Linked DNA regions of Schizosaccharomyces pombe. Changing the gene in region 2 together with the main gene of any one other region gives a genetic interaction. Each region holds a gene or a part of one and is shown on either strand. Other genes may lie near its edges.

Region 1 (7,683 bases), 1.1 Mb from region 2:
TCCTCAAAAAATTCTTCGTTATTTGTGTCAAAGTCAACCTTGGGCAATTTAGAAGAGACGGAATGCAAATATTGCGTATCCGTTCTTCTTTTCACCCGTGGTGAACTATTAGTCATGCCATAAATAGGAAATTGTTTGAGAAATTATTGGGCTTTTTACTTTTAATCCTTCAGTGTGCAAGTTCACTAGTTTAACAGAAGTTATGGGTTGCTGAGTGAGTTTAAGGCACTGATTGATATAAAGAATTTACTAAGTCCAAAAAGTATAAAGACATTCCAAAATCGAAAATATTATATTAAAATTGAAGATATAATGATTATCTATTGAGTTACTATTATTACAAATTTATCAGTCAAAGGTAAGTTAATGACTTTACATTGAAGCGATAAAATCTTAACTATGTTTAATTTGTTTTAAAAAACTTTAACCGTTCTATTGACAACTCAATAATAAATTATATCCATTAATAGGAATCCCCAAAAAAATAAATAAACTTCCAAAACGCATATACTGACTTAGGGAATTACGGTCCAAAAAACTAGGATAACAAAAAAAATGCAAAGGGAGATATGGCAGGTATATAAAAAGGAAACGGCCAAAATTTGGGCTAATTTTAAAAAAACAAAATTCTAATTTGAGAACAAGAATTGCATATCCTCGACAGAAAGCTGGTTCAAAGCCTTTTCGTCTTGATCTATGGTTGCATGTATCATCTGAGCTTTCTTTTCTTGTAGTTCAATAATTTTGCTTTCAATGGAATTTTCAATACACAGGGTAATTACTTTTATCGGCCTTTTTTGTCCAATACGATGAATTCGATCCATTGCCTGCCACTGTACAGCTCCATTCCACCAAGGATCCATCATAAACACTTGAGATGCCTCTGTAAGGTTCAAAGCAACACCACCTGCTTTCAACGAAACTAGAAAAATGGTAATATTAATATCGTTACTGAAAGCCTCAATAGTAGCTGCTCTCGCTTTGGGGGTCATACCACCATCTAGCTTTACACAATTAAACCCGGCTTTTCGAAGTCGCCAATGAATGAGATCTAACATAGAAGTAAATTGAGAGAAAACAATCGACTTCAGTGTTCGGTCCTTCTTACGAAGTAAGTAAAGCTCCTCAACTAATGCTTCAATTTTTGTAGATGAACGCCAACTATTCATATCAATTCTATTCAAAATCGATGCATTCTTAAACTTCTCTTCAGAAAAATCTTCTAAAGCAGGGGCACTAAGATCTATGCTTAAGGGAATGAAACAACTTGGACAGTTGACATTTTCTCCATCACCAGCTGCATTGATATATTCCGTAACGCAGAGTCGACAAAATGTGTGATGGCAACGTGATTCTATAGCATCTTGAGCGACTTCGTCACAAATCTTACAGACGATATTTTCCTGATTTTCAATATCAACTGTTTTTCGTTTGCTAGCTAACACCAGGTCAGGATGATCTGCCATTTGGCGCATTCGTGTAATTAGCTGGAAAATGTTTGCATAATTATTCAAAACGACACCTTCAGCAAGATATGTATTAAATTTTCTTTTTGAATCCATATATAAAGATTGGTATACATCTTCCTCTTCTTCGTTGAATAAATCTTTCCTCACTTCAACGACTCGAGGAGGTAATCCAAGGTCATCAGCCCTCTCTAATTTTGTTCGACGTAACATAATGTGTTTTAATAAAGAATGCACCTTTTTAAAAGCTAGCTTTCCTGGACCTTCGTATCCAAACTTTTGTATTGGTTTTAGCATTTCAGCGTTAAAATAGCAAGTATGACTCATTGGTTTATGGCCGCATTCGTCGCAATTACTTCTATCGGAAAATCTCCAGTGCAGAGATTTACATTCACATTGCAAGCAATAGTAGTAAGCAAAAGGATCTGCCCGTAGGAACCGAAGAAGTGAAAATAATTCTCCAATACGGTTTTGCAAAGGTGTTCCTGAAAGACATATCTTTCTTGTCGTTCTTAAGCCACAAACAGCTCTGGCAGTGTTACAAGTCCTTGATTTGATACCATGGGCCTCATCAAGTATAATTCGGTAAAACTCCATTTGATGAAGTAATGACTTTTCTTTTACAACACCGTTTTTCCTTCTGAATCCGCTGCGTTCCTTCCTGTAAACTGATTCAATTACATTGTAACTCGTTAGTACAACATCATAGCTCGAAAGCTCTTCTCCTGAAATATCACGAGCCTGGCCATAATAAAGATATGTACTCAGTGCTTTATTGGTATGTGTATCAATCTCTTCTTTCCATTGCATAATTGCTACAACCGGAGCAACAACCAAGGTTGGCTTACCTCGAGGTTCTGAAAGCAACAACGCAATTGTTTGAATAGTCTTACCCATACCCATTTCATCGGCCAAGATTCCTCCACCAAAAGAGGAATCTTCTTGTCGTTTTAACCAATATACACCTTCTCGTTGAAAAGGGAGAAGGTTTAGGACCAACTCTTTGGGTTGCTCGATCTGTTTCACTTCACGAGGTGCTTCTTCTTCCAATTTCTCCCAAACATGTTCTAGTTCAGGATGTTGTCGAATCAGACGATAATGGGTTCTTTCATGTGATGGAATTGATTTTGCTTGTGTTCTAGAGGAAGAGGACGCGGAAGAAGAAGCCCTAGCGGATACCCTCCTTCGTTTGGACTGGTAACTTAAAGGGATTGACTCTTCATCACTTTCCGTAGAAGAACTTGGAGCAGCTTCTGGAATTTCTACTTTACTATCAAAAGTTTCATCCTCTTTGATATCAATTATGCTAGCAACTTCATCACTTTCATCATCATCAATAAATTCGGATTCATTAGATTCTTCTGGAGATGACAATGGCACAAACTTTTTTTTCAAATTCGAGGACCTTAATGAACGTTTTCTGGCACTAGAAAAACCTGTATTGGGATTTGCTTCTACATTGTCTGTGCTGCTACCGGTGTGTGTACTGGTATCAGAAATGGATAATGGGGGTGTCGAATGTTGAGATGAGGTGTTGTTTGACTGGATAATCAATTTTTTGTTTGTTGACAGAGGTTCTTCAAACTCTTTTCCGTTCCAGCGCGTTGTCTCCATATCTAACTTGTCGTCACGCTCGACTTGTTGATTTGAAGCATTCCCCTTTGAATCACCATTATCATCTAGAACAAAATGCATATTTTCTTTTCCCTTATTACTATTCGAGTTTATTTTATTACATGACGTCCCCATTTGTGAATGTAAATTGTTTTCAACCACTTCCTCATCTTCACTTTCTACAATAATGCCCGCAATGGGAGAAGATGACCATTCATCTTGATTGCCTGGTACATCATGAATGTTATTTATCTCTGAATAAGTAGTAGAAAATGGAGCCTGCCCATTACTTTGCTCATCATTATTGTCTGCTTGAAGAGACGCCTGAGTAGTATGGTTATTGCGAGTATTTTTCCAATTTATGGAATCAATTGTATCGTTTGAATTAATATCTACAGCTTCATTTTGTAATTGGTCCACTTTTAGAGTAGATATATGCATAGTAGTGGTTGGTATGAGACAAGTTGCCACGCGATCTGAAGCGATTTAATTAAACTCAACCACACTTCCACCTTATCCTCAGCATACTAAGGATTTCTTTAAAATGTCAAGTGGAAGTCGGGTGAGAGGGCCAAATTCTGCTTTAACAGAATTTTTAAGAGTATGTGATGACTCTTTCTTAGCTCGGAGTTACTAATGCATTATTCAGTCTCAAGGTATCAATGCTTCAGCATTAGGACGTGCTCGTCCTCCTCGTCAAAGCGAGGAGTCAGCAGGGCAATCGACTGGGACAGAATCAGAAGTTATTCAAACACCGACTTCTGTTGAAGAAAACAACGAAGATGAAAACTCGATGTCGACAACGACAATTGAGATACCAGTAGTGAAACGACGAAATCTACGAAATCAAAAAAAGAAGAAGAAAACGGATGAAGAAGCTGAAGACAACGAGGACACTTTTTCAATGAATTCAAGAGCTGGGTTTTCTTATAAAGCAAGGGAGCATACGGGCAAACTAGATTTTTGCGCACACTGTAATTGTCGCTTTACAATAACCCCATACAGCAAATACAGCAATTCAGAGAAAGGGTGGCTATGTTATCCTTGTAGTCGTGGTGCTGAAGATCGATCGGTACCTGAATTAAGGACGAGAAAAAGAAAAGCATTGACCCGTAAAAAGGTGGCTGCCGCTACCATGGACGAAGAAATCAGTGTTCCTAAGCTTCAGGATTTGTGTATACGAGTTATTGCTGAATACATAAATGATATCGAAGCTTTTGGGGATATTGGCCAAGTGAATATGGACAAAATTAGCCAAATAATTTCAAAAAACCGCTCTCTTAACGATACTACTGTGAAATTATTCTTAAGTGGGGGTCAAACTGAATTAAAACTATATGATTGCTCAAAGATTACAGCAGATTCACTTTTCCAAATTGCTCAATACTGCCCAAATCTTCAAACTTTGCATCTTACTTATTGTGGTCAAATGCAGGATCAAGTTTTACACTTTTATGCGGATCATTTGACTGAATTAACAGATGTATCTTTTCAAGGTGCCTTTTTGGTTTCTTCCTCAGAATGGATAAATTTTTTTAAAAAACGGGGTTCAAAGCTTATAAGTTTAGAGCTTACGGATACTGCCCGAATTCATGTTTCGGTTATCAACGCTATAGTTGACTGTTGCCCAAATTTGATTAGCCTTAATCTCTCTAGAATTTTCTATCTTGATGATGAATGCGTCCGTCTATTAGCTGGTTGTAGAAATCTTGTCAGTTTGAAGATTGAATCACCAGGCGGCATCATTAATGATGGAAGTATATTAGATGTACTAAACCAAATTGGAAGCGGTTTGCATACTCTTAGTTTATCTGGTTGTACAAAATTAACTGATGAAGTTTTGAAACAAGGTATAGGTCCTTGTTGTGGTCGTCTTAAGCATCTAAATTTAAGTGGTTTGGAACTGTTAACAGATGATGAGGCCTCTATAGTTTTTGGTGAATGGAAGATTCAGTCAGGCTTAGAAACATTGTCCTTAAGAAGGTGTCTGTCACTTGGAGATAAAACTGTTCGTGCAGTATTGGTTAATTCAGGGCATACGCTTCGCACTCTGGATTTAAATGGAATGTCGTTTGTGACTGATGAAGCATTACAGTATATTGTCAATTTTCCATTACCTATGCTAAAAGCACTTGATGTCAGCTGGATTCGTGGAATGAATGACAAATTGGTATGCGATTTTGAAAGCAAAAAGCCAACGCTTGAGAAGCTTTTGGTATGGGGAGATAATCATGTCCTGATGCCCTCAAATCGGTTACTTCTGATAGGGCGTGAAGTTCAATAAGGATGGAAATACTTTCTTTTTCAATTTTATCAAAGGTTTTGGTTGTTGAATTGGACCTGTAATTATTCTTTTGAAAAATTTAATGACTAGTACATTATTTAAATTATCACCTTATTTGATGGACACTAAGTTCCTTGAACAGCCTCAATCTCTTTTTGTGTCTTTCTGATATTATTCTTTAACGAATATTTGTATTTGAAACCTTTTTATTTTTAATTTTATTTATTTATTTATTTTCAAATTAGATGATATGGTCTGCGAACAAATAGCTAACCATTTCTTTGGGTAATGAATTATTTTTTTATTACCATTCCCTCTCTTTACGAATGGATCTCCGAATCATTTTTACACATAATCAAACAATTTAACTACCTTTTTTTAAAAAAAAAATCCCGCTGCTCTTTGTTGTAATACAAATATCAAGCAATGTAATTTTCAATCACCTTGATTTTATATAGCATAAGATTATGAATAGTACACTAATGGTATTGCTTGCCAGACTAAAGAGGTTTACTGCTGCTCGGAAACGCAAAGCTCATCAAACAAACATAAATATTTATCCTTTTTAAACTGCAAACATTCTTTTCAAACTGTAATATTCCAATCGCCCGACAAGTTGGGCATATGAAAAATCAAACAATTGAAAACACTGGTTATGCAAGTCGATTTGGCTATCTCACAATCCGCCAGAAAAGTATGCAAAAAATATATACAAGGGCAAAAAAAAGCAAAAAGCAAGACAAGCGGTATGAGATTAATAATAATATTGAGTTGTAAACCGAAAATATTGATTCTAATGCTTAATAATTCGAGTTTACGACTACGGTCATGAGCCTCACTATAAAGAAGAATTACTTAGTGAGCCGTTGATTTATTATAAAAGAATGATTAAACGTACCTTTTGTTCAAGACTACCATTCTCCATTAAAGATATGCGATTATCTTCCTCTTGATTAATATACATCTTGAAAGAGGCTATCTTCAAACCTGTGAAATATCAATTTATATAGAGCAAATGGTCAGAGAATGAATGGGCTTTCTTCCAGAAAACGAGTTCACTTAAGCCAGGCAGGCCCTAGTCCTTATATACTATCTATTTTGCAGAGCTAAAGGGACGATTGTTAAAGCGGAGATAATGTCAGCAATACTGGACTACTCTATGATACACCATGTTGCGTATTTCTATATGTCACAAGCTCTACATTGTATTATAGATACCCGTTGATAAAAACTATTAGTAAGATTGTAAATGGAGCTTCTACTGAACCTCGTTTCACAGTTCAGTTATGAGCTATATCGGTGACCGATACTAACAGACTTCTTATAACAATAAATATAATATTGTTAGTTAACATACCGCATACCGCTACATTGTAGATCGCAAGTAAAAACTCACCGCAGTTCTATATATCGTTAAAACAGATATCAAACTGCGTAGCTAACAGATAACATACATTTATTTACTCACATATATTCTGGTTAATTATCAGTTTACATATTAAAGAAATGGGGACAGCAGAACTACAACTTTGCAGTCTCAACTTACAAACGATATAAAACATCCTTCATCATTGTATAGTACAACATACATACAAATGAATATTCGACAATGTGTTATAACCAACTCATAGTTAAAAACAACTTTAGTTATGTTGAACTTCCTTGGCTGTGTTGAATAAAGAATTCGCAGTTGCGACTTTTATGTAAACAAGTCATTAAACTCAGTTTCAGAAGCAATTGAAGGGCTTGTTATATATATTATGTGACATAAAGGTTTTTTGAATCCGGTAGAATGAATAGATTGAATAAATACAGTGAACATTTGAACAAGTGATTTAGATCTATTTATGTTTAAAGTGCTTCGCTGATCAATAAGATGAGCGACAAGCGAAAAAATGAGATATGCTGAATTACTTCAGATTTTGTTTTCTTTGGTTATCAAAATTCCAAGCTTACTCGCTCGAATTTCTCAACTATTAATCTATGTGTCTCATCATCGTTCATTCCATTAAAACCAATTGAAAATACGGCTACAACAGTAAAACAATACGATTGTTAAAATTAAAAGAACCCTAGTCAATGCTTAATGCGATCATTGTTTTACGGAATTTTTTAAACAAATCAAAGCTTTATACCAAATACACTACAAGTTTATAACTGATCATACACAATACTCTCTTGTAAGCACACAAAGCGGGATAAAAAGTTAAGTAGATTTAAATATTTAAACATGAACTCTTTGAAACTAAAACATAGCAAAGCTCTGCGCCCGAATAATAAAAATATCAGTCATAAAAAATATGCGAAAAAATTTTTAGA
Region 2 (8,734 bases):
TATGGGACACTGCTCTTGAAAAAGGTGGATGTGTAGAAGAGCACCTTCGACTGAATGATTGCTATTGGGATACTCATGATTGGAGGAAATGTACAGAACAGGTAATTATATGTCTTTAAAAAATTTAGCTAATTCTGATATTTTTAGATGGAAGAATTCAGGAAATGTTGGGAAAAGAGACATGGTCCTTTGCCAAGTATCTCAGACAAAAAAAATAAAAATTTATCTTAATGAGTTTCTATATCATGTGATTTTGTGAAAAAAATAATTATTCTGTTTACGGCAGTTTTAGTACGCTGTTATTAGGATGAATTCTTTTTATTGAAAAAGATATAATGCATGCGGAACTAATTAATTGGATTCTTCAAATACGAAGACAGTGTTTCAAATCATTAACTCATTTGATATAATTTTTTTGAATATTTTCTGCAATTGCAGAGTTTTCAGCTATTTATTTTACGAAGTCTCAGTTGTCATAGTGCATCAATTTTTCTGTGTTATGTGGTATGGTAAAGCAAGTTATGACTTAGTATTGAATTGATAGGATGGAGTTTAAATACGCAAAAACATATTTTACAATTCAACGTTGTTGTCAAATTGTATAAGTCTGTTTCAAATCTGATCCATCGATATTGGAAAAGTTCTGTACTTATAACCCGCTTTTATTGTTGCATTTGTTGAAAAATAAAAAATTTGACTTTAGAATGTTTTCATATTGAACATGTGAACGTATTCAACTGTCAAAAAATGTGTGCAGTTTAGTAAATAAGCGTAATTTACCCATCAATAAACAATGAAATTCATCTTTACAGTAGCTCTACTAAAAGGATGTAATTTTATTTTATATAAGCGCATACAAAAACACGCTAGATCAAAACATTAACTATATATACATTTTCTGACTCAATCATAACTAAGCACTTATCACATATGTGTAATTGATTTAATGATTATAATACAATTTCTCCATCCTCTCCAGTTTTTGGCCTTTTAGGGCTTGAATGAAGGTCAGAAGGTTCATCTTCCTCATCCCGTCCTCGCTTTTTAGTAATCTCTGACTGCTTTTGACTATTTTCAGAAGATTTTGGACTAGATGTTACTTCCAATATAGTTTCAGCAACATTATTCTCTTGCTTTTCAGATATTTTAGAATTTATGGTGGAAGTAATTTCTTCTGTGACCTCAAAGTGATCATCATTTTGTTTTAGTTTTTCAATATTTTCGGGAGATTTCACATGTGAAGATGGGTCCTTTGAAGCTTCAGATGTATTATCATCTTCTGATTTGAGAACCTTATTAACCTGAACCAAAGATTCACCGTTTACTTCACTGTCCACACCCTCAGTTGGGGGTTTAGGTGATACCTTTGGCAAGTCATTTTTATGTTTTCCTTCTTCAACCTCAACGCTTTCTTTTTCCTCTTCATTTTGGACAATATCACCTTCAGCATCTGTTTGCATAGGACTTGCAAAGTTTTGAGAATTGTGCTTGACATTCTCCCTCTTTTTCATTTCCTCTAATAACTCTTCTCCTTCTATAATATGAATATCAAAAGCTGGAGGAATAGAGGGTGTAATTTTCGATGTAGTCGGTTTGCCCTCAATGGAATTACAAAGCAATTCAACATCACCTAGTCCGGTATCCGAAAAGTTTTGAAGATGGCTATTAATTGCTGAACGAAAGGCACGCCATGTCTTCGTTGCCAAGGACTGTTCATGGAAATGCTTGTCATCATCTCTAACTGCCTCTTCTATTTCAAACTTGTCTGCTTTAACGCCAGATAAAAAGCTCTCAGGTGATGGAATCCGGTACCTTTCCTCCTTTTTGAGATCATCAAGGGTATTTTCTCCAGCCTGCTCCCAGAGCCTCGACAAAGCAGCATTTCCCATAGCAAATCTTAATTTCACTGGGGTGTTTGTAAGCTTTTTTAAGCCTTCGACAGCTTCATCAATAGCCGCTTTATCTACTAGGGGTTTTTCAAGGGAAGGGCAGCCAAGCCCTTTCCATAATTTCCAATTACCCTCAATATGTATAATTTCTTTAATGGTTCTTTGCACAGAACCACACCGGGCAGTATGTAAGAAACTATATGCTTCTTTGGATAATTCATTTAACTTTGAGGTCTACATATTAGCAATCAATAAAATCAGTTTTTTTCGAGTCTAAAAAAGAACATACATCTTCGTCAGACAAAATAACAATGGGAATTACCGCCTTATTTGTCCATTTTTCAAGAGTTCTCCTTTCAATTCGTTCTTTAGAATGGTCAAGCAAAAAGTCGAAAATAATAATTAATTGTAAAATAGCCTGTAACCGGAAATCTTCATCTGAAAGTTGGTATTCAAAAAGCGACCGAGAATATATATATTTAGAAGGAAATCCTTTATCCAAAGTTATATATTTTTCAGAAAGTAATGAGCTAGAGTTTGGATCAATTGTAGGGTTTGACTTCCCATTGAAGAACGTATTTTGTAATATAGATTCGAATGCCTGTATTGCAGAACCAGCTGCATCTATAAACTTAGGTAAGGTATCACTTGCTAGTAATTTAGGAGGGTTGGAGCACATACACTGCAAATCCCAATAAGCAGTAAATAAGGTATTAAGTTTTTTGTGATATGAGAGGTCTGTTCGGTCCGAAATGGGTGTGGATGGTGGTGACAGTTCTACCTTCCCAAAAGAATGAACAGTATTATAATCTCCACGTAAATTGGCTCCACTCCGTTCTTCAGGGGGGAAAGCCTTACTTAGCAGAATATCGATCCGCCCACAAAAAGATGAATTTTCTTGCCGAGAAAGACGCCGGAGTAATTCATTTGATATCCGAAGCAAAACGGGTCCTCTTCCACGATTGCTGACAATACCTTTCATCAAGCTAGGTCTGGTTTCAAAATATTCATATAATTTGGCGCATTCGTTGACGGTGTGAATGTCCATCAGCTCTTCCAAGATTAGAAAAGGCAACAGGTGATCACAGAAGCTTTCGTTAATTTCGTTCCCTATTACTAAGAGATCCAAAATCGCAAATAAACATTTTAATCGCTCCTCCAATCCAATCTCACTTTTGCGCTACACGAAAATAACAATTAGTAACTTAAGGAAAACTTCATTATGGAAAAAGCACATACTGCTGTTTCATAACAGCAAAATCTTATTGCCGTTTCAAACTCAGTTGAGTTATGAAAACTCTCAACAATCGAAGGCCATAATTCTTTGATGAATAATTCATATTCAGAACAAAGTGGACTCTTATCCAGTTCTTTTGCCTTTTCTAATGGATATGTATTATAAAAAGCTTCAATTAAACCCTTTTGCACCTCCATTACTTTAAAAGTCTGCGAATATACAATCCGCGCGCAGAAACGTGAGTTTATCTAGCATTGACAATGTCATTTAGAAATAAGGATTTATTCGTTATTGCTTTGTGTGGTTCATTGCTTCTCGCTATAACAGGAGCAGCATGAAGGAATATGTAATTTTGCCCTTAACCAAACAACAAAGTATTTTCTTAAATTTGCAGTGAGTCTGAAAATGAGACTTTATTTAAGAAATTGATAGGATATGAGTGTCAATGAAGATCTATCCCATTTAGGGGTTTTTTCGGTTGACCAAGAGAATTTGGAACGCGATGTTACGAATACTGCTAGTGAGTACATTGCACATGAAAGTCGAGAGATCGAAAAGAAGAGACTTCAAAAAGTCAGGAAAGAAATATCTTCTGTAAAAGAAAAAATACGTCGCCTTGATGAGCGTATAGACAGTCGACTTACAAAAATAAGTGTCAAGGAGAACTTCCGCAAACAATTATCTAAATTCCGAGACACTCTTCAAAGTTTACAATCAGACGAAAATGATATTAAGAGAAGACTTAATAACGAAGATTCGGCAAATGCCCCTGGTATAGGTGCATTTTCGACTGAAGAATTGGAAAGACAAGAGCTCATCCGTACTGGTAAGGTTACACCGTTTCGAAATCTCTCTGGACTACAAAAAGAAGTTGATTTTGATGATGAATCTAGCATTCGTGAGGCTGTTATAAAGTCTGAAGGAACATACTATGAAACGGCACCTCATTTGAGTTCGGAGCCGTCAAATATTGATCATGGGATTATTCCAAGAGACGAAAAAGATGAGTACGTAACTGTGGATGCTGTTACGGAGAAAGTAGTAACTGCCGCTATAGATGATGGAGATGATTTGGTATATCGACAAAGGCTTAATGCTTGGTGTGCGAATCGTAAGGAATTACGAGATCAGGCCTCAGCATCTGAAAACAATAAAGATAGAGGAGAGTTTGAAGGTAAAGATGAGTGGTTACTACCTCATCCTTCCAAAAAAGGACAGACTTTTGAGGGTGGATTTACCATCCCAGGTGATATTCGCCCACATCTTTTCCGTTATCAAGTCACTTGCGTACAATGGTTATGGGAACTCTATTGTCAAGAGGCCGGAGGAATCATTGGTGATGAAATGGGACTAGGAAAAACTATTCAAATAGTATCTTTCCTTTCGTCTTTGCATCACTCTGGCAAATTTCAAAAGCCTGCACTTATCGTTTGTCCAGCGACTTTAATGAAGCAGTGGGTTAATGAGTTTCATACATGGTGGGCTCCATTACGTGTTGTTGTTCTTCATGCTACTGGCAGCGGACAGCGTGCTTCACGCGAAAAGAGACAGTATGAATCTGACGCTTCTGAAAGTGAAGCGGAAGAAAGCAAAACCTCCATAAAATTAAGAGGTGCTTCAAGTTCATTCCACAGATACGCTAAGAACTTAGTTGAAAGTGTCTTCACTAGAGGCCACATTTTAATTACAACATATGCTGGTTTAAGGATATATGGTGATTTGATTTTACCACGGGAATGGGGTTATTGTGTTTTGGATGAAGGGCACAAAATACGAAACCCAGATTCTGAAATATCTATTTCGTGTAAGCAAATCCGTACTGTGAATAGGATTATCCTCTCAGGGACTCCGATCCAGAACAACCTTACCGAGCTTTGGAATTTATTTGATTTTGTATTTCCTGGAAGATTGGGTACATTACCGGTATTTCAAAATCAATTTGCCTTACCTATTAATATTGGTGGTTATGCCAATGCTTCAAATGTTCAAGTGCAAACCGCTTATAAATGCGCCTGCATGCTTCGAGATTTAATTTCTCCTTATTTACTTAGAAGAATGAAGCTTGACGTTGCTGCAGATTTACCTAAGAAGTCCGAACAAGTATTGTTCTGTAAGCTGACTCCTTTACAAAGGAAAGCTTACCAAGATTTTTTGCAAGGCTCTGATATGCAAAAGATCTTGAACGGAAAGCGTCAAATGCTTTATGGAATTGATATACTACGAAAAATTTGTAATCATCCAGATCTTGTAACTCGAGAGTACTTGTTACATAAAGAAGATTACAACTATGGTGATCCTGAAAAGTCTGGCAAACTGAAGGTTATTAGAGCATTACTAACTTTGTGGAAAAAACAAGGACATAGAACTCTTCTATTTTCTCAGACTCGCCAAATGCTCGACATACTGGAAATAGGATTAAAGGATTTGCCGGATGTTCATTACTGTCGCATGGATGGTAGCACATCTATTGCTTTAAGACAAGATTTGGTGGACAACTTTAATAAAAATGAGTATTTTGATGTGTTTCTTCTAACTACTCGTGTTGGTGGATTAGGAGTCAATTTGACTGGTGCTGACAGGGTAATTCTTTTTGATCCTGATTGGAATCCCTCAACGGATGCTCAAGCACGTGAACGTGCTTGGAGACTGGGCCAAAAGAAAGATGTAGTAGTTTATCGGTTGATGACTGCTGGAACTATTGAAGAAAAAATTTATCATCGTCAAATCTTTAAGCAGTTTCTGACTAACAAAATTTTGAAAGATCCAAAACAAAGAAGGTTTTTTAAAATGACGGACTTGCACGATTTGTTTACGTTAGGCGATAACAAGACTGAGGGCACTGAGACAGGCAGCATGTTTTTGGGATCTGAACGAGTACTTCGAAAGGATAATTCCTCAAGAAATGGCAATGAAGCTGAAGATATTCCAGCTCGTGACCGAAAAAAGCACAAAATTCACGACAAAGGTAAAAAAGTTAACAGCTCCAAAGTGTTTGAAAAAATGGGGATTGCATCGATGGAAAAGTATAAACCACCGCAAGAGTCAAATGTTACTAAGACAAACTCTGATTCGACTTTAGGGGATGATTCCGTCCTTGATGATATTTTTGCTAGTGCTGGTATTCAGAGTACTTTAAAGCACGACGATATCATGGAAGCCTCCCAGACTGAAAGCATATTGGTTGAAAAAGAAGCGACGCGTGTTGCTAATGAAGCTCTGCGTGCAGTTTCATCTTTTCGGCGACCTCCTCGTCAACTTATACCTCCGCAGCAATCTACTAATGTTCCTGGTACTTCTAAACCATCAGGTCCGATTACTTCAAGCACTCTTCTTGCCCGACTAAAACAGAGACGATGAATTAATTAGAAGAAGTTCGCCTTAGAGTAAGCTGTATCCATTAAAATTTCGGACCCAATCTTGTACCCATTTATTTATTTATTATTATTTCCCTTTATTTTGTACATTAAGTTTTTCATGATTTAAGCTTTATTTATGGATTTATTGATAGACACGCGATCATTTCATTTTTTGAATGGGAATTATCCTTATTACTAGGTGGGTTTACTTTGCTTGAAAAGTATTGGAAATGTCAATTCCATGTTGAGGATAGGGCTGTCGGAATTACTTTGATCATTTTTCCCTTTTGTTAAAGTACTTGGTTAAAGTGTGTTAATGTTATTGTAAGCAAGCACTTGACAAATTCGCTTTACCTGAGACCTAAAATTAGCGTTAATAACTTTCTAGTTGGCTGAGAAAAGTATGAACACTCAAAGCGGCTTAGTTAGTGGTATGTGCAACCCGTGCAACCCTTTTTGTAGCTATAAATTACTACGTTCTTTTGTCAACGTTATTAGAATGCTAGAGTCATGTTTGTTGACAGTGTCAGAAAAGACCTTTTAATTAGAAAACTAGTGGTTCAAAAATTTTGATGTCTTGGTGCTTATTGGCGAACTTATTACTAGTACTTTTTCATTTTATATAAATTAATATTTGTATATAAGCAATGCAACCGCATCTAACCATTTTTACACACATATTTGGTTTTACCAAAAACTTGACTCGTTAATTAATTTTGGGAGCTGCAACCAACGCTGTACTTTCGTAAGATTACTTGAAATTCGAAGTCTATGTAGTTCGCTGAAACAAAATAAGACTCTGCTTCAAACAATGTTCTCTGTTGGTAAAAAAATCTCTTTTATTTTGCCTATTAAGGGCGTATTGCAAAAATTAAAGGATAATGCTCAAAAAACCGTTCTCTTGGATGCTACTTGGTACTTGCCAACAGACACTAAAAACGGAAAGAAGGAGTATTTAGAAAGTCGTCTTCCAGGTGCTCAATACTTTGATATAGATGAGGCTAAAGATCACAAAAATCCCCTTCCTCATATGCTTCCTCCAGCTGACGAATTCGCCTCTTACGTTGGAAAATTAGGAATTGACAGAAACGTAAGTAGTAGTTTAGAAATTCCAATTACTTAGTCTTCAATTTTACTAATATTTTAGACCAATGTTATCATTTATGACCGAAAAGGGTTTTTTTCGTCTCCTAGGGTTTTCTGGACCTTTAAAGTCTTTGGTCATGAGCATGTTTTCTTATTTCCTAATGCGTTTAACGCATGGAAAACTGAGGGTCTTGAATTGGAAACTGGAGAACCTAGAACTCCAAAGCCCGTTGTTTACGAAGGTGCTAAGTTGAACAAAGATCTGGTTGCTTCCTTTGATGACATTGTAAAGGTGATTGAAAGTCCAGATGCCGCAGGCGTTCACATCGTTGATGCTCGCGCTCATGAAAGGTTTCTTGGCAACGTTCCCGAATCTCGTCCTGGTTTAGCTAGTGGGCATATTCCTACGTCCATCAACATTCCATTTACCGAAACCACTGCTGCTGGTATTACAGCTCCGAAGCCTGAGGAAGATTTGGAAAAGGTGTTTTCTAGCCATGGTTTAACAGACAAGTCTGTTCCCATAATCACTTCATGTGGCTCTGGTGTAACTGCTTCTGTATTGTTTGCTGCTCTTAAGGAGTGCGGTTTTAAGGATGTACGCGTTTATGATGAGTCTTGGTCTGGATATGGAAAACGTGCCAATGAAGATTCTTCTTTACTAGCAACTGGCCCTTAAGCATACTATGGTTATCAACGATGTATTACGAAGATAAAGTAAAGGTGTGAATGATTTACCTTATGAGTATTGATTAGGATTTTTGTTTTTAAATAACAAATTCATTTTATTGTTAAGTTGACGAATAAATGTTGAATGATTTTGCTTTCCAATGTTAAATGTTATATAATATATATGTAGCTGTCTCGATAGTTTAACGTCAGACCCGGAAAATAATTTAATAAAGGCTCATAATAAAACTGACGAGTTTCTCTTTTTAAAGTGCAAGCCTTTGGAAAAGGTTGTTAAGTGCACTTTTGACTGGTGTTATTCAAGTGAGTTTTATGGCTATGAAACTGAAACACTTTGCGTCTTTTCTATGAAAAGAGTTAATATGATTTATTTCGTGCATAGGTGTAAGGTAATGGTTCCCTATTAGGACTTTTTTTTGGATATATAAAAATACAATAATGCATGAAGATGTAATTTTATACAGGACTTTGTTGGT

What was found.
Region 1: mutations in rhp26 (region 2) and rhp7 impair growth when combined (synthetic growth defect), as found in Schizosaccharomyces pombe (2 studies listed by BioGRID, with this or other methods).

The regions. Positions count from the first base shown.
Region 1 is NC_003421.2:102,056-109,738, forward strand, and holds rhp7 (DNA repair protein), read left to right. Parts: upstream 1-3,624; coding exon 3,625-3,681; exon of another isoform or gene 3,682-3,729; coding exon 3,730-5,364; 3' UTR 5,365-5,793; downstream 5,794-7,683. Other genes in the region: raf1 (CLRC ubiquitin ligase complex WD repeat subunit Raf1/Dos1), read right to left, coding at 1-116; rhp16 (ATP-dependent helicase), read right to left, coding at 630-3,521; SPOM_SPCC330.19C (uncharacterized protein), read right to left, coding at 5,950-6,202, 6,263-6,282. UniProt on the Schizosaccharomyces pombe protein: Involved in global genome repair (GGR) via nucleotide excision repair (NER), in conjunction with rhp16, after UV irradiation.
Region 2 is NC_003421.2:1,177,385-1,186,118, reverse strand, and holds rhp26 (SNF2 family helicase Rhp26 ), read left to right. Parts: upstream 1-3,480; 5' UTR 3,481-3,561; coding exon 3,562-6,483; 3' UTR 6,484-7,187; downstream 7,188-8,734. Other genes in the region: coa4 (respiratory chain complex assembly protein), read left to right, coding at 1-101, 148-231; THO complex subunit Tho1, read right to left, coding at 951-2,123, 2,179-3,069, 3,129-3,323; thiosulfate sulfurtransferase Tum1, read left to right, coding at 7,294-7,572, 7,630-8,247; transport protein Got1, read right to left, coding at 8,715-8,734. UniProt on the Schizosaccharomyces pombe protein: Involved in transcription-coupled repair (TCR).